4 linked regions of the Astyanax mexicanus genome follow. The protein of the gene in region 2 binds, or shares a complex with, the protein of the main gene of each other region. Links are inferred from orthologs where the notes say so. Each region holds a gene or a part of one and is shown on either strand. Other genes may lie near its edges. The genes, in order: snrpd3l, gpkow, rnf113a and snip1.

Region 1 (7,686 bases), on a different chromosome or scaffold from region 2:
GTATCAGAAAACTGTATACAATCAACTACGATTATGCAGTGCCATACCTTGTGCTTTAAGAATAGCTGCCTTGCCTCTCCCAGCCCCTGCTCCTTGATTCTTATTTTTCATGCTCTTTAACATTGGAGCGTTTTTCAACATATCCGGTAGGATGAGGAAGCGGATTTTGCTGCCGCGAATGTAGACCTGCTCCAGCTGCGACACTCTGCCATCTCGGTACGTCACAGTAATATTCGACATCTAAAATCCAAAGGCATTAGTATTCATTAATGCAAACATTATTTTAATTAATACACAGAAAAAGAAAGACAGGAAGAACAGAAAACTGTGCAATGCAGTTACCCCTACAACTACATACACAAGTTGCCAGTTTAAACAACTGTATTATAGGTCCACTTGCTCAGATACACCTACAGTGTGGAAAGTACAGGGCATCTCACGTTGCATTATGATACTGTGATTCTGCAACACTATATACTGCAAAAGAATTCTCAACATCTGTGTAACTGAAGAGGATTAAATACTCCTAAATAAGCAAATACCAGGAATGTGTTTATGGGTGTTAGTTTCACAGATCTAAAGGAAGTCTTAGGGAGTATAGAGGACCCTTGTTTCAATAGAAAATATCCATATTTGATGCCATGTATCAATGTATTATGTATGCAAACTATAAAACACTAATACCAATCTTTTGTTCCACTCCTAGTAAAGAAGTTTATTTACATTGTCAAGAGTGGAGGTGGGGCTGGCAACTTGGGCATAACAGATGGGACAGCTGAAACTTGGTTACAAGCAATAAGTTTACCCAAAACACAAACAAAACAAAACTTTTCAATTGGAAACAAAATAACTACATGACAAACAGTGCAGACATTACCTGGCAGTTCATATTATCTTCAGCTTCTATCAGTTTCCCCCTGTACACCTCACCAGTATTGGTTTCACAGGTCACAATGTGACCCTCCGCTTCATGAAGCACTTTGATTGGTACACCGATCGACATTGTTCAGATATCTGCAGTAAAAAGAAAGGGGGTCACCACAGGAAGGACTTCAGTAACAGATCAAAAGAGAGAATTTGCGAAACAATTTAGTCCAGCTCAGCACAACGTAGTTAGCGCTGTGCGATTTTTCCTGATTAATTCAGTTAATTCCAATTAGTTTTAAGGCAATTTACAAAACGCACGCATATATTTCTTAAACTATTTTTTTCTTTACATGTAAACCTAGTTTTGAACCATTTCTTTGCCATCTGTAGTTTGATTTTAGTAGGGAGAAATAATCAAACATAAATCAAAAATCTTTTTTTTGTGTGAAAAAAATCTTTTTTTAGGCCATAAACACTCAGCACTACATACAATATGTCTAGAATCTTAAGTTTGCATCTTTAGCTTTTAGTGGAGTTAAGAAAACAGTTTTAAACATATTTGATGAAGTATTTTTCAGCCATGTTAGCTCCATTCCATCAGACAATAAACCAACAAAGACAGCACAAATACATTACTGGCCCACAATTATAAAAAAAATAATAATAAACTTACAGAATGGCATTTAGCAATGCCAAAAAAAAAATCAAACTAAGCCAAATATTACACCCTTTCCAGAGAAGAGCAGTGATGCACTTCTGTACAACAGACATCAACCTTTATCACCAACAACTGGTTGAACCATTTACTCAAGCTTTAACTTTCACTCAACTACAGATTCAGGAAACCATTAATCCACAACCATTACATTTAATATGTGCATACCTATTTAATAAAGCTTTCATTGATCATAAAATGAACTCTAGTTTTAAGAACTGGAATTTTCTAGCAAATACATGGTTTGGGCTAGGGATAGGAGATACCAATATTTCAGGGATTTTCTTTTGTACAAATACATTATAACACTGAAATACTAAACCTTATTTTATTATTTTCAAGAACAGACAACTGCAAATGTTTTATTTCATGTAAATATAAAAGGGTTCAGACATTCAGCAGAAGCATAAACAATCTGACCAATTATTAAAATTAAAAACTACTGGATTTAGTAAAAAACTAAATTACCAAGATTGTTTTGTATAAATTATGAATAAAAAGTACGATTTTATACTCTGTACGATATGCTGCGGGTCACACCAGGCGAGGTTTTTGTCGGTATAAGTAAATAAATGTTTTTTTTTGTTGTTTAAGAGTCATCTGCACCTTTCATTTTATTGTTGGTTAAAAGCTAAAACATACGGGTATAAGCTCGCTTTTAAATTTATACAGGGATGTGTAGTCTTTACGTTATAAATGTGTATATCGACATCGGCATGTTTAAGTTAGGTTTGTAATATTGGAAATCGTCATTAGCACAGAACTCACACATCGGTGCATTTCTACTCTTTATCTTACATGTTAAGGGAAGATTTAGTCAATCTGAAAGATTATTGTAAGTCATTATCATAATTAATACCGTTTGATTATAGTTATTTAGTAGTGGTATAATTAGAGCAGTTAACAGATGTTGGTAAAGTTTGTCTGTATCTGGGGAGAGCTGAGTATTATATTTAGCATCTGAGCTAAACACACCTCTAACTATACAGCATATATTCTCCCGGAAACAGACAATACTATCCAATAACTACAGCCGATAAAGCCCGAAGTAGAGGTATGTTTAAGGGTGTAGGGAATACAAAGGTGGTTTAGATGTAGATATAAATTTTCCTGTTTTAGGCTTAGAGTTTAGCTTCAGTAGCTAAAGCTAACAGGCTAACAGTACAGAAAGAGCAATAAATCAGCGATTCTCTGCTGCACATTTACAGTTAATAAAGCCTGTATAAACTCGGCTTTACCCACAGATACAGAGTAACAGGATTAAACCGGGTAAAACAATGATATAAAGGATATTTCTGTACCGGAGTCTTTGCGCTGAGGAAGTCTTTGTACCCGCTCTAAAGCAGCGTGCGCGTCCGAGCAGCGTTCTCCCGCTCCCACAATGCACCTCAAATACACCGCCTCACATCCGGGCACTTCAGCACTGCATTGTGGGAATGAATGGTAGTTAAGAACGACCGTGGGCGTGTGGTCAGGGAGGAGGTTTGTTAACCACCAGGAGACGTTTCAGATACCGTCCAAATGAATGGGGTCCTATAAATCAGTTTCTCGTTAGGCTTGTTTGAGGTACGGCTGCACCTGCACCACCTGGGGGGTGGGCGTTTCGTGAAGAAGACACGAAACACTTTTACCAGCACTGAAACACTTTTATAAACTGCGATTTCCTGACGGAAACACCCCACATGATGCTCAGCCACTGCCCCGCGGACAGGACAGGACAGTACAGCAGCTGAACCCCGCTGGGCAGTAGCAACAAAGACAATTACTGCTGCTCCTAAAATGCATGCCAAAAAACATTATATATATATATATAATTTGTTTTGTCCATAACTCGACTCTCTCTCGGAGGGTCCGCAACAAGCACTACCTGCAGAGGCGGTTCTTTAATTAGGCAAACCTAGGCATTTGCCTAGGGCGTAGATCAAATCTGTCCTCCATAGTGGCCCCCAAATCTGACCATCCCAGCAACAGTAAATACACAAAAACAATGTTAAGTTGTTACTTATGTAAAGAAAAGAACAAAATATTTATATTAAAAATATCAGTAGAATACCGAATTAATGTCTAAATAATAATTGTCCAAACACACATACCCCCCTCCCTTGCTTGCATTGAACTAGTCCATAATATGATGACGTAGCAATGTGCCACACAACGTGACTTCAAACCAAAACAGCGGGAACTGTACGCGACTAGAGTGAGGGCTGTCACAGTGAAAATGAAGCGGAGTTATGAAAGTGGTTCTGCTAAACGAAAGAAACGGGCAGAGAGCAAAAGAATCAAAGATGCACTGCCAAAACTGACCTTTTTTTTTACACCTCCTGGACCGATCAGTGTTTTTGGGGCCGATTCCGATCGCTGATCGTCTTTTACCACGATGGGCCGATCGTCGATACCGATTTTGGGCGGGGCCAAATGCCACATTAATGACACACAGGTGCCTGGCAAACCTGGTACAGATTCCCCTAATTACATCCACGCCTAAAGCAAACACTGGTAATTTACGCTGCTAGTAAATAAACACAAGTGTGACTGACCAAAATAAACGCTTTTTAGGAGAGATATAACTTGTGTGTAAAGGAACTGCAGCTTCCTGTAAGCGAGCAGTTTCACCGGTTTCACCAGTTTCATCCACACACAGCTCTGATAAACTGCTTAAGCCGATCGCCGATACCGTATTTTGGCTGAAAATTGTCTGATACCGATACACTGCCGATCGATCGTTTCATCTCTAGTTATTTGGTTTATGTGTGTATGTTTCAAGAATGAGGGCCCCTTGTTTTTATTTTGCCTAGGGCCCTAAAATGGCTAGATCAGCCCCTGACTACCTGTGTGTTAGACCCTCCCTTTTAGTCAGAAATCACAGTTTGTAAAAGTGTTTCAGTTCTGGTAAAAGTGTTTTGCGTCTTGAAAATTTGTTTCAATTTTTGGAAATTTGTTTTTCTGAAATGTAATGTTTTTTTTTTTTTGCCCATGTAAAATATTTTTTTCTTTGGTAATTTAGTATTCTTGAATGTAATTATTTTTCGTATGTAAATTTGTAATTTTGTAATTTACTTTTCTGAAATGTTTATTTGTTTTGCACCTCAGAGCCACCATAGAGAAGTCAGGTCGGACAGTCTCCACCTGCGACCAACGTGAACAATAGCGGATCTCGCGATGATTGCGCTGTTTGCTTACTTCTGGTGTTTAAAAAAATAGTTTATGAGTGAAACAGAGATGACATGAGTGTTATTAAATTGAGATAAAAAAAAATTTAAGTATTCACAAACCATACTGGCATGTTACAGATGTATTGTGTAGCACTAAATGAATAATGGGATTAAACTGTGCATTATTCAAAAGTCTGTTCTTCAGACACAGAAAAGTACATTTTTTAGACACTGAAGATGAATCACACATAACCTTTAGAACTTTGTTTTTTTATTTGCAGACCAGCTTTTCTGTTCTTTGTTCTTGGAAATAAATTCAACATCATGCTCATTTACACAGCTTTAATTGTTTAGTGCATTTCGCAACATAATATAATATATGGAAAGAAAAGTAGATCTCAGTGTAATAGTTATGTAGTGTTTTTAAAGAAAATTCAGAAGGCTTTAGAAAACAGTAAAAACGTATACCATTTTTTAAATAGTTTATTTAACAGGGACAGTTTACATTAATTTACATTACTGTAAATGCACCAGAATTGGCCTAAAGACAATTTTTCAATGGTGTGCAGTGAGGCGCTTCTAACCCTTCAGAGAAGAGGTGACAATAAATTCATGCAAATAATTACATAATTTAATCATAAAATATATATCATAGCTATTGTAGGTGTAAGAATTTCTTTTATAAATTAACTAAAATAAAAAACAGCAACTAATTCAAAGCATTAGTCTTTGTTTTTCAGTTGCTACAGGACTCTTATCTGACTAAAAGCGGTTGTTGGTGAGGACCACTAAAGGACTGTATGTGTGGGTTCTGATGATGGGATGAGTGTTGTATGGGGGGTGTCGGTTAGAACACCATGAAGCAGTTGTCTCCTTTTCGTTTCTTTATTAAACTTCACACTTCAATTACATGTGCAAGAGTCTCAATGGTGTGTGGTTTGGTTGGAATACACGCACACAACTCCTCACATGCTATTCTCTTGAGGCTGTGATCTAGCCAACCTGAAGTGGTAATTTGCCTGGAGCAACAGAGTAAAACTAAACAGCAGTAGAACTAGACCAAACTGCACGTGAAGGGGGCGGGGCTAAGATTCAATGCCAGAGTCTTTCTTACAGCGGTACTGAACAATAAAACTTTTTAAAATGTCTTCTGCCCCCACGTGACTGCGTGCCCCATCTCCTGATTTTTGAGAAGGGTGTAGTAATGTTCTTTTGTGACTTCCTGGATAAGTTGGCCATGCCCTTTTGGAATAATTTTGGTCAGTTTGTTTCTCCTGGAAAGGTTCACTAGTGTTCCATTTTTTCTCCCAAAGCTTTGGAAATGACTTTATAACCTTTTCCAGACTGATAGGTGATCAATGACTTTGTTTTCTCATCTGTTTTTGAGTTTCTTCAGATTGGGACATTATGTGATATATGTATGACTGTATATGTATAATTTTTTAGATATTTTATCTGGTTAATGTTGTTAGACGGGTTCTATTTAATTGATTTCTTGTTTCTACAGGTCTGGCAGTAATCAGGCCTGGTTGTGGTTAGTATTTAAATGATACAGCTTTCCAAAAAGTGTGATTAATTGCAGTTCATTAATGGGGGGCAAACACTTTTTCACATAGGGCCAGACTGGTTTGGATAGTTCTTTTTTCCTTAATAAAAAGAAAGGGTGTAAGGGGCAAATACTTTTTCACGCCACTGTACTGTATATATATGTACAAACTCTAAATAAGTCATAAGCACTGAATACTGTGTATTACTTATATAAGAGGAAATTATAAACGATTAAATATGAACCTACCTGACCTACTTTATATGTAAATGGTAGTATTTTTCACATTAATATATATTAATTAAGGTCTGCATTTTACCCTTTTATAACAACAACAGCAGCAGCTGCGTAGTCGTGTACTGAAAAGAGCGTTCTGCTTTACCGGGCGAGAAGTGCGTCCTCACCCCGAAACAGTCCAGAACTCTACAGTTTAAGTATGCGATTTCGGATTTATTAAACCAACTCAGCTCATGGCACTGAAGAAAAACTGAAATATATAGGTATGTTTTATTTGCTATACATCAGTGTAGTTTAAAATGAAATGAATAACCCGGCCAGATAAATATTCAATATTTTAATTTAAGTTTTGACCGTTTAGCTCCGTTTACTCCCATTATTATTGGACTCTCTATTATTGGGCTCCCTCTAGCGGCCCGTGCAGTCACTGTCTGGTGCTGATAACACTTCTGCTGTATGAGCAGCAGAGGGCGCTGCTGAACTGTTTACATTCAAATACTGAAACACTGCTTTAAGAGAATATCAATACCATGGGTCTTATTTTTTTAGGGTTTAGAGTAGATTAATACCGATGCTGATTCCTTTACCAATATCAATACTGAGAGGTTTAATTAATCTATTTAATGCAGGAAAAACCTTGTGATAAAAGTAAATGGGAACACTTGGCATCTGCAGAGTAAAATAACATCAAATATTTATTTAACATTATATTCATTCCTAATATTTATCAGTTAGTGTTGAAATTTTAACATTCCTGTATAAAGTTTTTAATGTTTCAATGTTATACATGCACGCACGCGCGCACGCACACACACACTGTGCTTATCAGAGTTACTAAGTTACCAGCAAGTTAACACAAGGTATACCTTGTGTTAACTTGCTGGTAACTTAGTAACTCTGATAACCTAACTCTTGCTTTTCCGTTCCTAGAGCAGTCTGAAAAGTCTTTGTGACTGCACTTGAGGATACTTTCAATGTTTTGGATTGACTGACCTTTACTTCTTAGAACATTACTCAAATTCTATTCACTGTATACCAACTCTACCTCTGACTGAAAATGCCAAATTGTGCAAAACTAACATCTTAGCAAGAGGTGCTACTTTAAAGAATCTAAAGTATAAAACATTATCTGGTTTGTTTACTTAAAAACTCCATGTGTTTTTCTTCAT
Region 2 (7,129 bases):
TACCAGACCACTGCATTCACAAGTATTGTATGTGAGATATAGCTAGTAAACTGATGAATAACCGCTTCGATACACAGAGGGCATTATTACAATTACAATATTGGTGTTGGATCAGTGACCTGGTAGTACATTAAATATACAGCTCTAGATAAAATCAAGAGACCACTTCAGTTTCTGAATTAGTTTCTCTGAAACTAATATAGGTATATGGTTGACTAAAATGAACATTGTTGTTTTATTCTATAAACTGTGGACAACATTTTTCCCAAATAAAATGATTGTCAAGTAAAGCATGTATTTGCAGAAAATAAGAAATGGCTGAAATGATAAAAAAGATGCAGAGCTTTCAGACCTTAAATAATGCAAAGATAACAAGTTAATGTTTACAAAGTTTTTATAGTCCAGAAATCAATATTTGGTGGAATAACCTTTTCTTTTTAATCACAAGTTTTTATATATCTTGGCATGTTCTCCTCCACCAGTCTTACACACTGCTTTTGGATAACTTTATGCCACACCTGGTGCAAAAATGTAAGTTTGTACTGACTAGAGAGGAATGATACAACACAACAGAATGTCCAGTTTAGCTTGGTTTGATGGCTTGTGATCCATCCATCTTTCTCTTGATTATATTCCGGAGGTCTTCAATTTGGTAAAATGAGAGAAACTCAGAATTTTTACGTGGTCTCTTATTTTCTTCCAGAGCTGTGTATCGCTTTAGCATCAACATGTGTACATGCTCAATACTCACATCACAGGATGTCAGGACGATCTGAACATAAAGCTTGTTTAATACACAAGGACATGCTGCTCTGTTTTCCATGATATCAGAGGTAGAGGTAGATTATATCTGCCTAGTAGTATTCATTTTACTCCACTCTTCGGTACGCAGAGATAATTATTACAATTACAACATTGGTGTTGGATCAATGAACTGGTAGTGCCTAAACTAGACAAACTAAATCTAGTTGTTTTTAATACAGCTTATAACTTAGCTGTGAAGGTTGTAATTAATGTAAAATTTATTTTCATTTGAATACCTGTGTCCAGTAATAGCACAAATAACTATAATTCGATAAAACATGAGCTAATAACTATAATAACTTGTTAGCATAATTCGGTGTATTTGAGTCACTTTATTCTGAGAGAAAAGTGTAGAAAGTTGTAATTTTGCCGTTTAGATCATATATCTTAACTAACCTAGCTACCACTACCATCTACCACTCTCACACACACACATTCACTTTCTCTCTCTCTCTCCCTCTCACACACAGACACACACACACACACACCCTCACGTAGTACCAGTATTTAAATTAAAACTCACCTGCATGGCCTCTGGCACACACACATTCTCCTCAGGCAGCTCAGCCGTTGAAAAAGAGCCCGTTTAAACGCGTCTATATACATCGACCCCGAACTAGACTTGACCCCTAAGCGGTCAAAAAGGGGGAAAATCGGGTTTGTGTCGAAGAAAACGCCTAAAAATCACGAGAAGTCTTCGCTACAAAAGGCTGGTCAGCGGCGGTCTGCTGGAAACGACCGTGGATAACTTTTAACCGCCATAGAAGTGAGCGGTCGGTCGCTCGCTCGCGCTGCGTGTCAGTGAGAGAGTGAGTGCGCGCGAGCGAGCGCGTGCGGAGAGCGAGATGCGCGAGGGACGCTGGCCAGCTGAGCACGAGACCGTCAGAGTGATCTGACAGCAGAAAAAAAGCGTTTAAACGCTCCAGACTCTCCGACAAACAGAAAGAGAGAGAGAGAGAGAGAGAGAGAGAGAGAGAGAGAGAGAGAGGGGCAGGGTGGCAGTGGTGGGCAGCGATACACGCTATCAGAAACACTCGAAGATAAATCCTATACTGAGCTTTAAACACAGCAGCAGCCCGCCGGTACCCTCCTGTCCTCAACCACATCTTCATCGACCGACTTTCGCACTCTTTCACACTGTCAGACACACACACACACTGTCACACACATTGTTACACTGTCACTGACCCCCGTCCGGCTCAGCCTTCAGTCTTACCTTCAGGTCTTGCTCCCTCCTCAGCATGCTGTCAGTCTGTCCCCCGGGGCTGAAACTGGCCTTATTTAACTCTCCACTCTCACCGCTCCGTCTCCTCTGAGGACACGGGACGCTTACATGATCCTCCCGGCGCCCGAGGACGCAGCTCGGTTAGCTGTAGCCTGAAGCGGCGAGGTGTTGAGGCTGTGAAACTCGGGAAACCGTGTCGGGGACGTCCGAAGGGTCTCACAGCTCCGGTGTAGCCGCGGCATGCTGCGACCCTCCCGGTGTTCAATACAAAAAAAGAAAAGGCTGAGCTCACAGTCGCATAGTGGAATATCCCTCAGGACCCAAAACAGTAGTCAGGATCAAGAAGCGATACCGGTAGAGGCAGAGAGCAGAGGGGTGGAGGGGAGGGAAAAGAAGTAATAAGGTAGAAGATCCGCCCCTATAGTGTAACAACGCGTCAGGTACTTTAGCAGTTTCATTGAAATTGCTGAGCTGCACAGAAACAAAGCTGTAAATACAAGGCAAATGTATGAAAGTGAAAAAAACGCGGTGAGCGTAAAGCATATCAGCAATGCTCTCTTGGCTTAAGGCAAAAGTGGACAATTTGGCCAAACCAAACACCTGAATCAGGATCAGCAGGTTTCAGGTGTTCCCGAGTCACACAGTATGGGCTCTGAATCACTCTCTGATTCACTCTGTTTTCTGTCACGTATGATCTTAAATTTATGAATCCTCAGCACCTGTATTTGTTTCTACACAAATCTACCTATACATAAATCAGAGAATATTTATGCATATATACATCATTCTGCCTTACTCAGAAACAGATCACACTCACATTTACTGTTTACTGTTATTGACAAGCATTAATACAACACAACAATACACTAATTAATCGTAATAAATAACGATTTAGATCTTGCATCTCATAGTTTATAAAACGTGCCTTAGAATGCATGTTTTAGTGTTTTAAAGTGTTTTAAGCATTACTCAAGATTTAAGCTCAAGTCTCCCGGAAGTTGCGGGAGTCTACCACATATCAATAACGGCTCCCTGATGCCTGCAAGTCAGATAAAATCTCCCGGTATTTAGAACTAGTGGCCCAAGAGTGAACACAAATGTGCACACGGGCCCCCAATCATGTGTATGAAGCAACTAAATTACATTGTTTGGAATGGGGCTGTCGGGCTAAGTTTAGGTTTTAGCCTAGCAAACTTACAATTTTGTGTTTTTACTCTTTTACACCTCTCTTAATGTCCCTTCCCCGCCACAGTGTGGAAGATGGCTGTGTCAGAAAACTAACCATCAAAATAATAAAAATGAGAAATTATTAACTGTGTTGTAATCCTGGACTAAACACTATTGTATGTCAATTTTGAGTGTGAGGAAATGTTAAGGGTTTGGGAATTGTGCAGATATTTTGTTTGATGTTCATTTCTAAGAATCATGGTGTGTAACAAACCTTTAATATTTAACTATGGCAAAATACAGTTTTCTGTTCTGTGGCACCTTTAAGCTCAGTCAATGTTGTAACTGTTTGTTTCCTGTGTTATTGCCATTTATCATATTAATTTAGCATTTCTTCAGTTGAATGTCAAACAAAAACTCAGTTGGTCTATTTATCATAAAAAGCAAAAATGTCCAAAATGAACATACTTGGATTTCTTTGGTGTTTTTCTTCTCTTTATAATATTGGGCTTTAGTATTATTTGACTACATGTTCCTAAAGCAAATTTAAATACTGCCATTTGGAAAAGATATCCAACATTTAATGTTTAACAAATGTAGGCATTTTAAAATGTCAACAGCGACTGTCACACACATCTATATTTTTGCTATATTTAAATGTATAATTCGTCTGTATTATTATGTATTCTATATGTATCGGGGTTAGGCACGGGACATACATTGTATTTTGGGATTTGTTTCTTTTTCTTTTAAACTTTAGTTCAACTTTGAAATAAAAGAGAAAATGTCCTGGATTTTTTTATTTTAGGTGGCTGGAATGGCCTTCCATGGTTTTCAGTCTTTTTAATTCCCACAATTGTTTTTTTTCCCACGCATCAGAACGACATACTAAACTAAAACTACATTTCCCAGCATCACTTGCGCGCACACCCACACATCAAACATGGCTTCGCCGGAGAGGCAACGAGAAGCGGAGGCTAATGCGGTCCCTGTAAATATAGAGAGCGGAGAAAGGAAAGCGGGCCCTATTTCTTTTGGGTTTAGTAAAACTCTCACTAAGATTAAGTCTGAGAAGCCCGTGGAGAGAGATTATGTGGTGGAGGTGGATGGAAAGGAGCTGAAAGGGTAGGTTAATGCTATAAGCTAACTGGTTAATGCTAACTGACTGGAGCATATAGTGCCGGTTAGCCAGGTGCTAATAACTCCAGCTCTGCTGATTCTGATGCTAATACTCAGCTAAACGGGTTTACCAAACATAGTAAAGCCGACTTAACTGGTGCGTCTTACAAAAAAAACGTTCAGCTTTTTTGTAGATTGCTGTCGTTTAGACCAGAGTTTCCTAGACCAGGTAATGGAGGACCCCCATACATGCACGTTTCGGTGTTTACCTTGTTTCCAAAGTATCTAATCCAGCTAGGTACTAAAGTCAGTTACCAAGGTGTTCATCATTTAAAGATTGTTAGTCCTTAAAACCACTAGCTAACCTGCTGGGCAGAAGGTCTTCCTAAACCAGGGTTGGAAACCTCCAGTAACCTACATTTTAACCTACATTATTTTGTGTGACTTTTTTTGTGTGATTTAACCTACAGTGCTTTGTGTGAAGTTTGTAGATGTTACTAAATGTTTGATATAAAATCTTGTGTAGAACGACGCCAGTGGAGAAACCATCAGAGTTGATTATTCCACTTATCCAGAAGAACCGCTGGTACCGAGAAGAAGGAGGAGGAAAAAAGAATGACAAAGGACCCAACAAAGACATCTCTGCATCTGAGAACCAGGACTCTGTGGAGTCTCAGGCTGTCAAAGAGCTTATTGAAGGTGTGTTTATGCTCTTGTTAGTTTGTTTTCTTTGCTATTTTATGCATTGGAGTTGTAACCATACTAGTGCATCTAAAACAAAATAGAATATCATTAAAAAGGTACTTTTATTTTAGTAAACTCTTCTAATATATATATGTTTAAGCATTTATTTCATTTGTTGTTGATGATTATGGCTTACAGCCAATGAAGACCCAAAAATCAATATCTCAGAAAATTAGAATATTATATAAGACCAATTGGTACTTTTGGCAGTGTGGGCAGTATACCAAGTCCTGCTGTAAAATGTCAGCAGAGGGAAGCATAAAGACTTTCTAGGAAAACACTGCACTGACTTTGGACTTAATATAACAGTAGACCCACACCAGCAGATGACATCCATAACTGATTGTGGAAACGTCCCGCTAGACCTCCAGCAGATTGGACTGTGTGTCTCTCCGCTCTTCCTCCAGACTTTGGTCTCTTGATTTCCAAATTAAATGTAAAATTTACTGATGGTCAAAGATGGTTTGGAGAGCCATGTCATCTGCAGTGTAAAAATCGTAAAAAGAAAGAAAACACATTGAGGAAAAATGACGTATGACCAAATGTTTGACTCTTACTCTATGTTAACAAAATCAAACAGCATCATATCAGCACTGACCCACACATTCCTGTAATTTTTTTTCGTCCCACAGAGTCTCAGAAGCAACAGGAGAGGTGGAAAAATGGCACTCAGATTGACCCAAACCTCACAATCCCTCTGCTCATGCAGAATCAGGTCCCTGAGGGCTTTGAGGACGGCGATCAAATCAAAGTGGATCTCAGACCTGAGTCGGTGAGTCGGGAGTGGCGGAAAGTAGTTAATAAAAACTGGACTAATTGTCTAAATCATTTAAACCTGCTCACAGGGGGCTCGGTTTGTCACATCTCGTCAAGCTATTGTCATAGAAGAATAAGGTGCTGCCACAAGGATTTGAATTCGGGTCGAATACCAGATCTTACTGCTTGCCATCAGCAGCCACTGTCCAAGAAAGCACAATTGACCTTGCTCTCTCTGGGTTGGTATATGGCTCTCCCTTACATTACCCTTAATCTGGTGTTGGTAGGTAGCTGTTGGATCAGAGCTGGATCGTTGAACTTTCCTCAGAGCTTGCTGGATAGCCAGTGATGCTTTGGATGTGTTGGAGGAGGCATTTGCAAGTCTATGCTTTTTAGTGTTGGGGGCATTGCTAGTGACGGGAGGAGTTACATGTACAGGGATTGGATAATTGGCTATCTAAATTGATGAGAAAAATGGGCTAAATTTTTTAAATAAATTACAGTATTTTTCACACTATAAGGTACAGCAGATTATAAGGCACACTGTATTATAAGGCATATTTTAAGATACAATATAAGGAACCTATAGGGTAGCTTACTAAGGTAAGTAAAGCTAAACTAAGTAAACAACACTATTTAAATATAAAAAGTCAAATTTCAATCTAAAAACTGTTTATTTGGCTGAGTAAATCGCTTTCAACAGTTAGCTTAGCTTCCCAAAATTTCTCCAGGACTAAGGCTGGAGCATTAGCATTAGCGGCTATAACAGCAGTGCTAGCTGGGGTTAGTAGCAGGGTACAGGCCTTTAAACGGGGAAATAGCGGGAAGCAGCTAATGCTACTGCTACTTCAGTCCAGATGCTGGACTGAAACTAAAACTAAACTAAAACTTCTGAATAATACTGCAATACGGCGGAGTGGCTTTACTGCTCCTTACAACCTTAAAATCTACACACAAGGTGCACTGGATTAAAAGGAGCACTGACGATTTCTGGGAAAATTAAAGGATTTTAAGTGCGCCTTATAGTTCACAAAATGCGGTATAAAAAATAATAATTAACTTCACTGTAACAGTTTCTGAATTAGCATTCATTATTTTATAAAAAAAAAACATAGCATTAATGGTTAACAGAAGTATTTGGGTCAGTGTGTAATGCAGGAATCAGCTAAACTAGACCTTGGCTAGTTTTTGTGTCTGCTTTTATGTAAAAAAAAATCTGGCTGAGTAAGAGCAGTATGATGGACTGCATTTAGGAAATCTTGGCCCAGTGGTTCTCGTTCGTGGAGGACCACACATTTCCCTGCTCTAAAGCAA
Region 3 (7,082 bases), on a different chromosome or scaffold from region 2:
GATTATATTCCAGAGGTTTTCAATTTCAATTTTTTTCAACTCATCATTTTTAAGTGGTCTCTTATTTCCAGAGCTGCATATCTTTAAAAAATCTTTAAATATCATGGTACAATCAATACCTTTTCCCCATATCGCCCAGCTCTATAAACTCTATAAACTGATTTACAATAGCATACATATCATGCACAGGAGCATAACAGATGAAGAGAATTTTTTGTGAAATTAACTACAAATTCAGTTATCACTGACAGATTTGTTCCTCACCTCCTGAATTTTCTGGCTGCGCTCAAAGATGGCCTGAGCGTCTTTGTCTTTTTCTGTGTCCAGTGCATACACAGCTGTTGCCCCCATGTCCTCTGGCCCTTCAGGTTTCTGTTTCACATATAAAAATCAGCCCATCAGCAAAGTTTAAACAGAATTAAAAAGGAAGAAGAAGAAGAAGAAGAAGAAATCATCATCATAATAACTGCTCATGTAAAAACGCAGGTTGAATGCATTAGAATATAATAAAACAATAATATGAATAACATACCATTTTAAAAAAAGCATTAAGGATTAGATTTTCCATAGTAACTCTGACAGCACTGGCAGCTCTTGAGAGCAGAGCATAAGGCTGTAATTATATTTTAATTATTTGGTACCTCATGGAAATCTATGTGGGAGTTTGCATTAAAATCTACCCACTTCCATTCCCCCACTCCCTTTTCCACACTCAGGGTTGTGAAATGGAAATGGACAGGCTGGTTACTTTTTTGGCTGAACTGAGTTCTAGTAAGGTTGCTAAGCATATTTACCACCACCACTAGAGTAGTATAGATGGGCATTTAGAACAATGAAACAAATGTATACATGTGCTGATTAGCTAAACAGTGAGACTCGTCGACAATTGTTCTTGCAACCCGCGCGAGCTCAACATTTGGGAAAGAGAGGGTGGGGCAGAAAACTCTCTCCAATGTTTGAAAATTGAACTCCTGAAGCTATTTCACACTAGGGGTGGGCAATATTATATCGTATACAATATATCCTGACACAGAAATATCATGATATTAAAAATACATATCGTGATAATAGGGCTGTTCTGTCTTAAAAGAAGTCTATTATTTACTGTGAAGCTTAAGGTGTATTTATTGTATAATTGTTTTAGTTTGCAGTTTATATGCATGCTCTAAATATTCTGCAATAATATTTGCAGCATCATATTATTTTATGCTATATAATTTATTTTGCCACATTATGATTATTCTGTTATACTATTATACTATATTCCTGAAATGAATGAATTATTTTAGTTTTCCTATATCGCCAAGTATATCGTTATCGTAAAAATACTCTGAAATATCATGATATTATTTTAGAGCCATATCGCCCACCCCAATTTCACACACTCGTTTCCATTTATTACTGATTGTTCCTTTGAACACAAAAAAGAGCAATTAAACATAATACTGATTCTTGGGGCAGGTTTTCTTACCGCTGAGCGGGTGGATTTATAAGCCACTGTGATCTTTTTGGCTTCTTTGTCTTCTTCACTTTCACTTGATGAGACGGCTTCCCGCTCCACCTTCTTTGTCTGAAACAGGGATTTTGGTTGGTTAATGAACTAAAACCATAAAATATAGACAGGACTTGCAAAGCAGAGTCACAAAAATAATAAAGCAAATAGAAAACACACTAATTAACAAAATAAATTACTAACACACACTGTATTGTTAAAACATTAGATATGCTGTTATATCTAAGGCAGATATGTAAATGAAAAATGCACTGTCTGTCGTTATGAAATTTTTGGCATTACCCAAAGACCTAGCCCTAGACAAATATGCGACAACCTGTTTTGATGAAGATTTTATTATTTTTTGGTGAATGATGATTCTGGTTTCTGGTTAATGAGCCGAGTTAGGTTCCTAAGAGCCATTTTATTGGAACTTTGTGCTGAGTTGGGCACAGATTCATAGAGGCCAATGTTACAGAACCAGGCACAAAAAATAACGCATTTAGAGGTGTTAACAATGTAACCAGAAATCACCAGGTAATGAAGAAAACGTTAAAATAGGAGAGAAGAGAGTTCAGGAGGGGCAGGAACAGATATGAGTAAGTAATTTTTTTTGCTACTTATGTTACTATTAAATGTTCCTAACTGGGATACAGAACTGTTATAAAGGAACTAATAAAACACTAATGTCACAATATTATTAATTACTTTAAGATAAACAGCAATACTGATAATAAATCCCTTAAATAAAAAAAATACTAAGTCGTAACCTCACGGTTGTTTTGCCATTTGCTTCAAACATATATTTTGGGCTAGTTTAAGCTTTTGAAGGGCGGGTTTTAGACTGATTTAGGCTGGATATTTGTGTTGGACCTGGCAACGTTGTATTCCATAAAGACCTGGATTAGTGCACTCACCCTCTGGAACATGGGGTTCGCAGAGACGGGTTTCTTCTCTCTTCTGACCACGGCGTTCTTCTCCTCATCACTGCTTCTGTCTGACACAGGGAGCAGAGTTACTGAGCCTGATTCTCTGGAGTAAACTCTATATTCAGACCAAACACTGACTAAAACCGAGGATATAAATATGGAGCTGCGTCTTAATTCTATCTCTCATTCCACCTTAAACAGAGCGGTGGTTCTGTTCTAGCTCTAAGTTACCCGTCCGGACTTTACAGATAAATAAACACAATATAAAGATATATTCATAATAATTTACAGTCTTTAGGCTGCGCTGTCCGCGGAGGAACAGAACACATAACGTTACATATGAAATACTCAATCTTCGCCTCCTCCTCAGCATTTATTACTTGTATTATAACAGATTTAACCCCTCTACACTCACTAAAATAGTAAAAACCGCCTAATAAAGTTTACCTTTGTCGCTGTCGCTGGCTTTTCTCTTCCGAGCTGAAAACTTCTTACTGGATTTTTTGAACAAAAACGTGCAGGTCGCTTTAGTCTCCTCGGATTCCGCCATCTTTAACTAATGAAAATAAACTACACTCAGAGACAGAAGAGCAGCTACAGCTTTAACACAGCGCCTCTCGCCGCCTGGAGAGGAACTGCACGGATATACGACAGCGGATTCACAGCAGCAGTTTCAGGCCTGTGGCAGCGCTATACCTACTGTAACTTTATCCAGGTTTATACACTTTTTAACCAATACATTTTCAGGACTTTTTCATGTCTCCAAGGCAAATTGTCATGTCTATACAATCTTTAAAACATCAGTGCGGACAATACAATCAAAAATCAACTAAAACTATAAATAAAAAAAAAGTAATGTTCACACAATTTATGATAATAATAATAAAATGTGTGTCAGATCCTGAGAGCTTCATTGTGTAAGGCTATTATACAGAACTAACTCTGAGCTGATATATTTGTTAGCTCAAAATAGCTTTTCTCAGTCGATAAATGAAAACACACATATGTAGCCTGCAAATTTTAATTTTACCAAACCTTTCTGGGTATTTCTAGTTTTCCAAAACCTATCCAGGCATGGAAACTGCTATTTTAAATACCATAAATTTTTTAAGGGTTGACTAGATAGAGCCTGGCTTCTAGGCTGGCAGCTGCTAGACAGGAGGAGGAGGAGGAGGAGCAGGATGAAGAAGAAGTGCCATCGCATGAGTGGAGGTCAGGAAGATAAGATAATATAGTATAAAAATATAAAAATCGTTAAGAAAGCAAGAAAAAAAATAAGAGACCACTTCAGTTTCTCAATATGTGTCTCTGATTTTACTATTTATATGTGAATGTTTAAATAAAATGTTGTTTTATACTATAAACTATGGATATTTCTCCCAAATTCCAAATACAAATATTGTCATTAAGAGCATTTATTTGCAGAAAATGAGAAATGGCTGAAATAACAAAAAAGATGCAGAACTTTCAGACCTCAACTAATGCAAAGCAAACAAGTTCATACTCAAAAAGTTTTAAGAGTTCAGAAATCAATATTTGGTGGAATAACCGTAGTTATTTAATCACAGTTTTCATGCATCTTGGCATGTTCTCCTCCACCTGTCTTACACACTGCTTTTGGATAACTTTATGCTATGCCTGGTGCAAAAATTATAGTTGTTTGGCTTGGTTTGATGGCTTGTGATCATTCATCTTTCTCTTGATTATAATCCAGGGGTTGTTAATTAGGTAAAATCAAAGAAACTCTTCATTTTTAAATGGTCTCTTATTTTTTATATTTTATAATTTAATGATACAATACATACATATGTACAAATAAACAGTTTATGTAATTGTTTTATAAATAAAAATACAAGACATGCCGCACATGCAATTACAACATATACAATTTAAGGTACTGAACACATAATAAAGATAAAATACGTCTCACTGAAAAAATAAATACAGAAACATCGTGTGCCAATTTAGGGGCAGGATTCTTCCAATACGGCCTCTGAAGGGTGCATCCCCTGAATTGGGACACACTGATACCTTCTGACGTTGCCAAGTAATGCCGCCAACTGTGAACTACTGTCGTAAACAATGCCCCTTCATGAATTGTAGCGATTTACGGCGTGGCGCCATTTTGAGAGAGCGCGCAGCGCGGAGAGGAGCTGGAGAACTGAGCAGTAACGAAACTAGTGAAAGCGACCAGTACAGACTGGTGTTACAGTAACAGTCTACACTGGGAGGCTCTGTGGGAGCTGCTGAAGTCGTTATTTTGCGGAGCTCGGAGATTCTGCGCGGATTGGATGCGGAGCTGAGGTAATTTAATGTCCGACACGAGGCCTCGGAGAAAGCGGGCTGTGCTCCAATACGCGCTCTTGTGAACTAAATTCTAGAAAGCTTTGGGAGTGGGCACGTTTGGCTAGAATTTTTTTTATTTAATTATATTTTGTTTTAGTTAAGCGGAGTAGGTGCGTGTGGTCTTCATGATGTGGCTTATAAAGTGTATGTTTGCTAGTTTAAGTTAAAAAGAGTATTAGTTGGAACCGAGTTAGCGTTAGCTAAGTGCAGACTAGTAAGGGACCTTGGTCGAGGGCGCACCTTTTGCTCGCTTATTTAAACATGGCTAGCTGCTAGCTAGCACAACCAAGCCCTATGCGCTACGCTAGCTACCACACACATAGGTTATTTAGCTAACATATATAGGTTTCAGCGTCAGTTTGGTACTCTTTATGGATTTACACTAAATGTAGGTTTGTATTGGTGGATTAATTTATCTTAATTAATTGAGTAAATAATTTAAATTTATCCATGTAGATTAAATGTGTTGTGTTAGCTAGCTTAGCTTGCTTGTATTGAGTTTTGTAATGCTAAGCTAGCTGGCTAGCGCTAATTTACTATCTTAATGTTGTGTGTGTCTAATGAGCCAAACTGGGTTCTGAATTGATACTTTTACCTCACAGGAATTGGGTTGTTTACTTCTCTGATAGTGTTGATTTTACTTGTCTGGTCTCTGTAGTCTCTTTGTGGCCCATACCTTTATCAAGCAGTGGGTCTCAGACCCTGTTCTTTAGAGTTTGACGTTTTTAGTTTCTTTGTGAATTCCTTGCTGGCCTAATCTACAATGTAATGACATTTAATCGTAATATTGTGTAATATTGTTAAATGGCCATTTCTCTGCTCTGTTTAGGTGAACAATGACTCAGTTTCTGCCCCCAAACCTGCTGGCCTTGTTTGCCCCGCGGGACCCCATTCCGTTTCTGCCACAGTTGGAGAAGCTGCCCCATGAAAAACACCACAACCAGCCGTACTCTGGGATCGCTCCCTTCATCAAGCACTTCGAGGTATGAATTAGTAAAATTGCATGTTATGCCACACTTGTAGGTACTTAATGTTATGTAAGTACACTTGTAGGTAACTTTATGTAGTGTGAACACTTATGCCAGGTTCACACTACCCTGTTTTAGTCCAGTTTTTCAGTCACCAACAGTTTTTTGTTGACTGCTGACAAAAAGTCTGCTCAGAGCCAAATCAGGGATCTCTCAGCACTTGCACAGTTGTGTAACATGAATTAGACTCACAGCAAGTATTTGGCATGCTAGATATCTGACCCAGTCTGCGACTGGGAGTCAGGAGCAGCGGCTACATACTGGCAATGAAATCATGGAGAAAGAGAAAACCATTGGTCCAAAACACATCCCTGCGTTATTCACACTACACGACTTGTTGTTGAGACACTACACAACTGAATGTCTACACCGGATCTCAAACAGCAAATTTTTTTGCTGTGGGAAATCACAGACTTACCTGGCTGCTTTCCAGAAACACGTTTCCTTTCGTGCGCACCCGGACTAAACACACATGAGAACTAGCGATGCCATGCCAGAGAATCTCCATAGAGGAGAAAACACACTTGCAATGTGTCGAACATGAATATGTTCATATTAAGCAACTGAGCAAAATCAGACTTTAAAAATTTCTTTTTTTATTTATTTATTTTTATTTTTTTTATAACTGTCTTCAACACGGATCTATTAATCAAATGTTTCAGTACAGCAGACATAAATTTTAAGCCTTTTAAATGTGCACTACCTGTATATCGAGGCTCAGCTTGCCAACCAATCAGCTCACAGTACCAGTAATGCTAGTGCTTTTGCAGTGTAAAAGCTTTTTTTCTGTAGATAAACTAAAATATATAGGCAAGCTTTCTTTGCTTTTACTGAAATTAAAGAAGTACTCAGAACAAGTAGTAAATTATTATTTTTAATTTGAAGGTTTAGCATTTAGCTCCATTTACTATATACAAAACCACTAGTCATTAGAGGTATTGCCGTATTATTAATATTTATTAGGATCTTAACATATAAATCTTTTTACCTATTTTTAAAAACCTTAGCTCCTCATCAACTAGAGAGATTCCTCTGTGATAAGTTGTAAATCAACTGTAATGGTTTTGTACAGGTCATTAATTAATTTTATTTTAATCTTGTGTTGCGTTTTTAATCTTTATCCTTCCTTTCAATCAGGACCCTAGAGATGCACCGCCACCCACAAGAGCCGAAACGCGCGAGGAGAGGTTGGAGAGAAAGGTGAGAATATTGTGATGTTTTTATATGATAGAAAAAAAGCTTAACAAGGACTAGTGAGACACATTGTCTGTGTTTTCTGGCATTATC
Region 4 (7,133 bases), on a different chromosome or scaffold from region 2:
TCAAGTTTTTACAGACCTTGTCCACAACATAATAGTAATGTCAAAATCATTAATAAAAGAACAACCCATTAAATTCTGGGTCAATCACAGCGATCTTGATCATTGATTCAGGGCTCCTTTAAAGAGTCCCACACAACAAAAGTACTTTGGTGAACTTTGAGTGGTGACTACTCATCAAGCCCTTCATCCTCCTCATCAAGCTCCTGTTTGGAATCAACTTCAGCGGTGTCTGAGAATTCATGCAGGAGCACATACTCGCGGCTGCTGAATCCAAATTTCAGCACATCTTTCTCCTTGAGCTCGTAGTACCGCTGTGATTCAATACGCTGGTTGTTCAGGTATGTTCCATTGCCTGAACCAAGGTCAATAATGTACGGCTTTACTCTCCTGCCTGTGGTACCATCAGCTCGTTTGTGCTCCACCAACCTGGAGATAACAAACAACAGGTATTACATTAATAAATCATATCACAAATTCATGAGGATTTACACGCTACTTTTGAAAAATTATACTGTATGGGACTCCAGGCTACAAAAGCCATAACAAAACAAGTTGAGCTTATCAATTTTTTTTTTTCATTATTTCTCAAAGTTTTTGTCTTTTCAAATAGCCTTTTCTTATCACATGGAATTGCAGGGGGGATGCAGGTGAGACATTAGTTAAAAAAAAAATAATTAACGAATCTGCCATAAAAGTGTTTTATTTACATTGTCTTAAAAAATAAAAATCACAATCCAATTTAAGTAATGTTTTTTTTTTCAGTTTATTGGTCAGTTAAAAAGAAAAGTTTGGACAAATGGGGTGACTTAACCGGATTTTTTAAATATTGACGTGTGTTTTAGTCAATGCGGTGCCTCCAATTTCTCAAAAAGGTAGAAAGAAAGAAAAAAGGCTGCCAATGCCAGTACAGTAAAATGAACAGGCACATACACCTATTTCTTTAAAGCATCCTTACCTGTACTGAAACACAGCATGCTGTTTTGAACAGGAGGGGTGATCAATAGGTATGTCGGCAATCTTTCTTTGTCTTCCAAGGAGATATGCACTCTGTCTGTGGATGTACATGACTGGAAGTGGCTCATCATTCTTAAAAGGGTACAGTCGCCATCTCCTCTTTGGGATTCGGGCCTCCGGTGGCTCGTTGTACTTAATAACAACTCCTCGAAATGTGTTGGTGTCTTCCACCAAAGCACCTGAGAGTTCAAAGTTGGGCTTCTCTTTCTCAACAGCAGGTCCAGACACATCATCTCCCTCTGTGCCATCAAACTCATGCATCTCATTTCCGCCCTCTGCCTCCTGCCGGAGACGGTTTTCTCTGCGACGCTCATTGTTTTGTTCCCTTTCTGCTTGCTGTTGCAGACGTGCTTCCCGTTCACGAGACCTCTCTCTCCGTCGCTCCGGCCCTCTTTGACGCTCTTCCTCCCTCCTACCCCGACGTTCATCAGGCCTATTTCCTCTTTCACGATGATCATCTTTTTCCTGAAGGAGAAAACACAGATTATGCTTAGTATGTATAAAAAAATCAGCATCACTTATCTACTCCCTAAAGCATAATTAGAAAAACAAAAAAAAATGGGTTAAATTGTGTTTCTGCAATTAGCAAACCCATGATCTAAATAAATATTATTATTATTTGCATGAAAGGCTGGAAATAAACCTGGAAAACAAGTTGCAAATAGTACATTGTTTTGATACAGATTTGGTTGCATGTTTTAGGGCTGCTTTGTGTGGTGGGACCATTAAATGCTATATATATACAAACAAAACTCATGATCTATACTGTGAGGTCATACCACCCAGTCCAATACCAAATGAATTATGATCATTCTATCTTGCAGTTTGAATCACCCGCTTTATCCGAACATCAGAACTGCGGTATGGACTGCGACTTCGCTGGCCTCGGGGGGACCTGTCCCTTTCCCTGTCCCGCTGCTGTCCTGATGATCTGTCCTTTCTTCCCGGAGATCTGTCTTTTCCTCTGTTTAAAGAAAACAAAATGTGTGGCAATAATTAGATTGTTGAGATATTGAACAACATACTTAGCAAGAAGAGACCAGGAGATTATATCTGTCCATCATAATTTATTTTACTTCTGGACAATCCTAGATATAAGGAGTGCATTATTAGTAGCATGATATGTTGGATCATTGACATCTGTTACAATCTGAAGTTACAGGTGCTACATATCATATTGTATACAAAAGTATCCCCATATAAACTGTAATATTCATTTATTGCAGTAGTTTATACTTGAAATGTTTTTAAATTACATATCTTGTCAAACCACCAATATAATTATCACAAAAATACCCCGAAATATCATGATATTATTTTACGGCCATATTACCAAACCATGCTATAAGTTACACAGGTTTGTTTATTCTGTCCACATAACCTGCTTCTTTTTCTTTTTCTCATTAGACTATTGTGTTTATCACTACTACGTTAACCGAATTTCCAACACTCCTTCTAGTGACACTAAAATATTGCTATTATTATTACTAGTTTAATTAGTATTATTACTACAAGCTACTATCATTAGCTTCAGCTACTACTGCTACTTCTACAACTACAGCTTCTACCACTATTGCTATTACTTCTACTACTACTGCTGCTTCTAGTAATTACTACTACCAGATAGATTAACAGAGAGAGAGAGGCAGACAGTGTGTGTTAAGCAGAAAGCGAGTATAGTAGAATAGAGTGTGGCTGACCGGTGGTCGTGTCTCCTCGGGGGGCTGCTGCTGCTCGCGCCGCTGGACTGTGAGCTGGAGCGGCGCGCGATCCGCGGCCTAGCGGGACTAACTTTCTCCTCTTTAATTCTGATCTTCCCGTCGCGCGCAGGGGAGTGCCGGTCTCTTTTCCTGGAGTCCATCCCGAACACAGACTGTTCTCTGTTCTCTTTATAGAGCTAAAACTGAGAATCCGCGCTTATTAAAGCTACATGCCTCACCACAAACTTCCACTGCTGCCAGATCTGCTCCCTGTCCGCTCAACAAACCAGCCCGGCCTGCCTGCGGGAACCGAAATTCAGTTCCGCCCTGTGGAAACTTTCATCGCCACCTGGTGGAGACGCTGATCCAGTTCACAAACAAAACACCACCCTCCTGCCGCTACAGTTGTTTCAAATCTGCGCAGTATCTGTAGATTTAAGGCAGATATTAAAATAATACATATAAATAATAATACATTTCCACCCACATGTGTAAATCTTCTTTTTAATAAATAATAATTTTGGCCAAATTTAATAATCATAAATAATCTCCTCAAAAATATGCAATTATTTGTGCACATCGATTTTCCATTGAATCATAATTGATTCAGCGTTATGGTTTTATACGTATGGTTTGTATTCAACTTTACTTACATTAAATACGTATTTCTTTGTTTGTAATATATTCGTATAGCCTGTACTGTGCTGTTGCAGTGTAGAAAAGTACACCTTTCACTTATTATCGGTGTGAGTGTAGATTTAGAACCCTAACCATTCAAGGCCTATGAAATGTTGTAAGGATTTTTAGTAAAATCTGTCAAAAGTGTCTAAACTGCGTTGTCAGAGCGAACCCTTATGTGCACTCCAGCCATTCATGTGTTAGTTTTAACATAAGCTGTAAATGAACGAAGAATTTGATGTTGGGACAGTTTTTACTAACAGCTGAGTGAGGCACTCTCATTTGAAAAACATATCAGGAAACAGCTCCCTCTAGGTACCGGATTTTGCTGTAACACCGGTTGTTGTTTTTTTTCTCACACGGTCTCCAGGGTTGCCATAGTAAATGTAAACAGTTCTCATACTCAATTTCCTCTGAGCTGAAACGTTACTGAAACTTTTTTTTTTTACTTAAAATTCACTTTGTAAAAATGGAACCTCCCCCCGACTCTCTGCTGAAGTATGATACTCCGGCGCTGATCACACCGACCACAGACAACAAATCACCTAGGGTAAGCTGTAAGAAACCTTTGAGTTAAGTAACGAAGTAACAAATTGGAGGTCTTGACTTTTGTTGAAAAACGACTTATATAACCTATACATTTTATCTAAAACTGTAACTTACACCCCATTTTGCTGATTTTTATTTACAGCAGAATGGTATTCTTTTACTAATACTAACTTCTACATATATATTAACACATTAACAAATACTTATATATGAATTTATTTTTTTGTTATATAATTTAGTTAAAGTTATACTCATTCATTGAATTTTACGTTTGAGTCGATGAGCTCATTCTGTTCTGTAGTAAAATAATTTCTAGAGCATTTAATATTTTTGTGATTCGGTAAAAAAAATGGAATGATGTTCATGATAATGATTTAGGTTATGAAGTTATATTTTCTTTTTTTATGCTACAAACTGAAATATGTGTATATATAGACTTAAAAGTTACATTTTTTTTATGAGGCAGCTCACAATAACAATAGCAAAGAATATAACTTTAACTGATTCTTAACTTAGTAGCTAATATTTAGATTTTGTTGGAAGGGTTTAAATAATGTTAGATCCAGTATGTTCATGTACGTTATTAATATTTCTTCTAATATTTCTGTGATGGTTAATGTAATTGTATGGATAAACATAATTTGTCACTGTTGTAGCTATTTAAGTGGTGATCTAATAGAATGACAGTAACATTCAATGGAAGTGGGAAAAGACAATTTAAAAATATATAAATATTTACTGAACCCATGCTTGAGCCTGTAAGTACATAAACTATCCCATTTATATATTTTTTTCTATCAAACAAACAACGAATCTAGGCTAGACCTTTGAAAGTGAGTCCACAGCAGCTGGTTTTATCTGGGCCCGTCCCGCCTCCACCTAAACCCAAGTCTCCCCCTGCAGAAACTGAAGAGATACTCAATGCAATTCTGCCACCAAGGTAAGATATGTCTTTCCTCTTCTGCTCTATTTCTAAAACAGCTCTTCATAATGTGTTCATGTTTAACGGTTATAAGCACCGATATTGCAGGGAATGGAAAGAGAACAACACGCGCTGGATTCAGCAGGTGTCCAGCACTCCTGCCACACGGATGGATGTGGTTCACCTGCAGGAGCAGCTGGAGCTGAAACTGCAGCAGAGACAGGCCAGAGAAAAAGGCATCTGCCCAGTGCGCAGTGAGCTCTACTCACAGTGCTTTGGTGAGTTTACAAAACAGCAGCCAGAGGAATTTTTAATACAGTACACGTGTTACTAGACACTGATAGCACTGTATACTGGCATGCCAGATGTCATGGGACATAGGGTTTGTATTGTGTCTTTTTCCATGCCCCATGGATACTAAAGAACGCTGCTCTGAGGTGCAGTATATACATATGGGGTCTAATGCATTTAATATGGATATGGATGCTTATCTGTTCATTAAGGCAATTCTAGCCAGATGCTGCCAATCACAATCATTACCAAGCACTGCGCTGTTCATTGAAGGTGGTAATGATAGTGACTGGAGGCATCTGGCTAGAATTGGCTAGTAATTCTGTCTGATATTTCTTCACTAGTGATACTTTGGATCAAATGAATGCTATATGGGCGCATAACTTTAAAAATGGAGTTTCCCATCCATTTGGCACCAACTATCAGGCCTCGCTCAGACAACTTATTCACAACCATCTTATGTAGTTTTTGTGGTGAATTTTTAGAAGCTTTAAACACTTAAGACATCTGCTTCCAATCATAACTTACTGTATCTTAATGAATGAAATGTAGACAATTTCATTTACCCTACAATTGGCCACTTTTTTGAAAGCATTGCTTTGCTTGTGGCATTGTACTTTACTAGCAGAAAGTGAGGAATGATTTATGATCTATATTATTCAATGTTTTTCTTTAATCACTTTAGGGCCATAGGTTCACAATCTTGTGAAATACACAATAGCAAGACATGTAAACACACAGCTCATTTAAAAACATATTATTTGTCCTTTAGATGAGTTAATCAGGCAGATTAGCATCAACTGTCCTGAGAGGGGGTTGCTACTTCTACGAGTGCGAGATGAGATACGTATGACCAACACAGTCTATCAGACCCTGCATGCTAGCGGTATGACCTTTGGCATAAAGAAGGCCCTACAGGCTGAGCAAGAGCCTTCAGGCAAGCAGAGAGTAAGTACATCAGTCTGCCTTTCTCATATATTTTTTATTTTATTTGAAATGCCTTAGTCTGAGACTATGTACTATGTATATCTTATCTGTAAACAAAATCGTAACTGAGCTGTACTTTAAGATTGCAGACTTAGAGAACAAGAATAAGGATCTGGAAAGGCAGGTAAATGAGCAGAAGGCTAAATGTGAAGAAATCGAGAGGCAAGAAGCTGAGCGGCGACAGGTTGAAGAGAAACAGCACACGGCACAGGTCCAGCTTCTCAAGCGCACCAACCAGCAACTAAAGGTACATCCATGACAATCAGTCAGCTTCTTATGCTGTCTTAGTATGACACTGAAATGTACAGTTCCTAAAAGTATTCACTCCTTTGGATGGTTTTCATTTTTATTCTTACTTAAATGAGGAAAACACATAGTCAAAGGGAAAAGTAATTTCCACACAGTGATGTAAATTAAATGAAAAAGCAATGTGAATAGAATGTAAAAGTAGTCTCTTACTTGCCATACTCGTTACGTTTTATGATGACAAATTTAACCGAAGTTTAAGGGTTGTTTAATGATGTAATTTGTATCCATCTCCCGAGTCCTCACTTGTTAACCTTTTTTCTACGAAATGTTATTTTGTCTTGATGTTATATTTGTAGCCAGGAATACTAATTTATAAGTGACTGGACTTTACAAACAGGTATATATATATTAGTTTAAACGTTCACTGCATTCAAGTCATCTCCATTCCACCAATTCTAAAATTAATAACATCTACTGATTGCACCTCTGTTAAATTAGGTACAGTAGTTTTAAAGGGGTCAGTATTTATACAGTCACTTATTTTACAGTATATGGTTTTATTTAACCGACTATCTTGTATTGTATAAACTAACATTTATATTGACAATATATACATTATACTTGTGTATACTAGCAAAAGAGGGGAAAAACATGGAGGTGAATACTTTGTATAAGCACTAATTTTTTTTTATTTTTTATTTTTTTAGGCCCATCTGGAAGAAATCATCACCCCCCAAAAAGGA

The links.
Region 1: gpkow (region 2) and snrpd3l share a complex: the UniProt entries of both Homo sapiens proteins name them as parts of the minor spliceosome. The link is inferred for Astyanax mexicanus from reciprocal best matches to the Homo sapiens genes GPKOW and SNRPD3.
Region 3: gpkow (region 2) and rnf113a share a complex: the UniProt entries of both Homo sapiens proteins name them as parts of the minor spliceosome. The link is inferred for Astyanax mexicanus from reciprocal best matches to the Homo sapiens genes GPKOW and RNF113A.
Region 4: gpkow (region 2) and snip1 share a complex: the UniProt entries of both Homo sapiens proteins name them as parts of the minor spliceosome. The link is inferred for Astyanax mexicanus from reciprocal best matches to the Homo sapiens genes GPKOW and SNIP1.

Annotation. Positions count from the first base shown.
Region 1 is NC_064424.1:38,883,390-38,891,075, reverse strand, and holds the start of snrpd3l (small nuclear ribonucleoprotein D3 polypeptide, like), read right to left. Parts: upstream 3,006-7,686; 5' UTR 2,884-3,005; intron 1,015-2,883; 5' UTR 1,004-1,014; coding exon 878-1,003; intron 241-877; coding exon 48-240; intron 1-47. UniProt on the Homo sapiens protein: Plays a role in pre-mRNA splicing as a core component of the spliceosomal U1, U2, U4 and U5 small nuclear ribonucleoproteins (snRNPs), the building blocks of the spliceosome.
Region 2 is NC_064419.1:20,705,918-20,713,046, forward strand, and holds the start of gpkow (G-patch domain and KOW motifs-containing protein), read left to right. Parts: upstream 1-4,111; 5' UTR 4,112-4,139; coding exon 4,140-4,321; intron 4,322-4,841; coding exon 4,842-5,014; intron 5,015-5,691; coding exon 5,692-5,831; intron 5,832-7,129. Other genes in the region: membrane-associated guanylate kinase, WW and PDZ domain-containing protein 3, read right to left, coding at 1,328-1,410. UniProt on the Homo sapiens protein: RNA-binding protein involved in pre-mRNA splicing. As a component of the minor spliceosome, involved in the splicing of U12-type introns in pre-mRNAs.
Region 3 is NC_064426.1:20,936,918-20,943,999, reverse strand, and holds the start of rnf113a (E3 ubiquitin-protein ligase RNF113A), read right to left. Parts: upstream 3,007-7,082; 5' UTR 2,972-3,006; coding exon 2,869-2,971; intron 2,490-2,868; coding exon 2,410-2,489; intron 1,571-2,409; coding exon 1,472-1,570; intron 373-1,471; coding exon 265-372; intron 1-264. Other genes in the region: snrnp70 (U1 small nuclear ribonucleoprotein 70 kDa), read left to right, coding at 5,604-5,750, 6,933-6,995. UniProt on the Homo sapiens protein: Required for pre-mRNA splicing as component of the spliceosome. As a component of the minor spliceosome, involved in the splicing of U12-type introns in pre-mRNAs. E3 ubiquitin-protein ligase that catalyzes the transfer of ubiquitin onto target proteins.
Region 4 is NC_064413.1:32,223,601-32,230,733, reverse strand, and holds the start of snip1 (smad nuclear-interacting protein 1), read right to left. Parts: upstream 3,022-7,133; 5' UTR 2,876-3,021; coding exon 2,715-2,875; intron 1,979-2,714; coding exon 1,849-1,978; intron 1,480-1,848; coding exon 956-1,479; intron 427-955; coding exon 168-426; 3' UTR 1-167. Other genes in the region: dnali1 (axonemal dynein light intermediate polypeptide 1), read left to right, coding at 3,862-3,942, 4,760-4,881, 4,972-5,141, 5,927-6,102, 6,224-6,388, 7,098-7,133. UniProt on the Homo sapiens protein: Required for pre-mRNA splicing as component of the spliceosome. As a component of the minor spliceosome, involved in the splicing of U12-type introns in pre-mRNAs. Down-regulates NF-kappa-B signaling by competing with RELA for CREBBP/EP300 binding.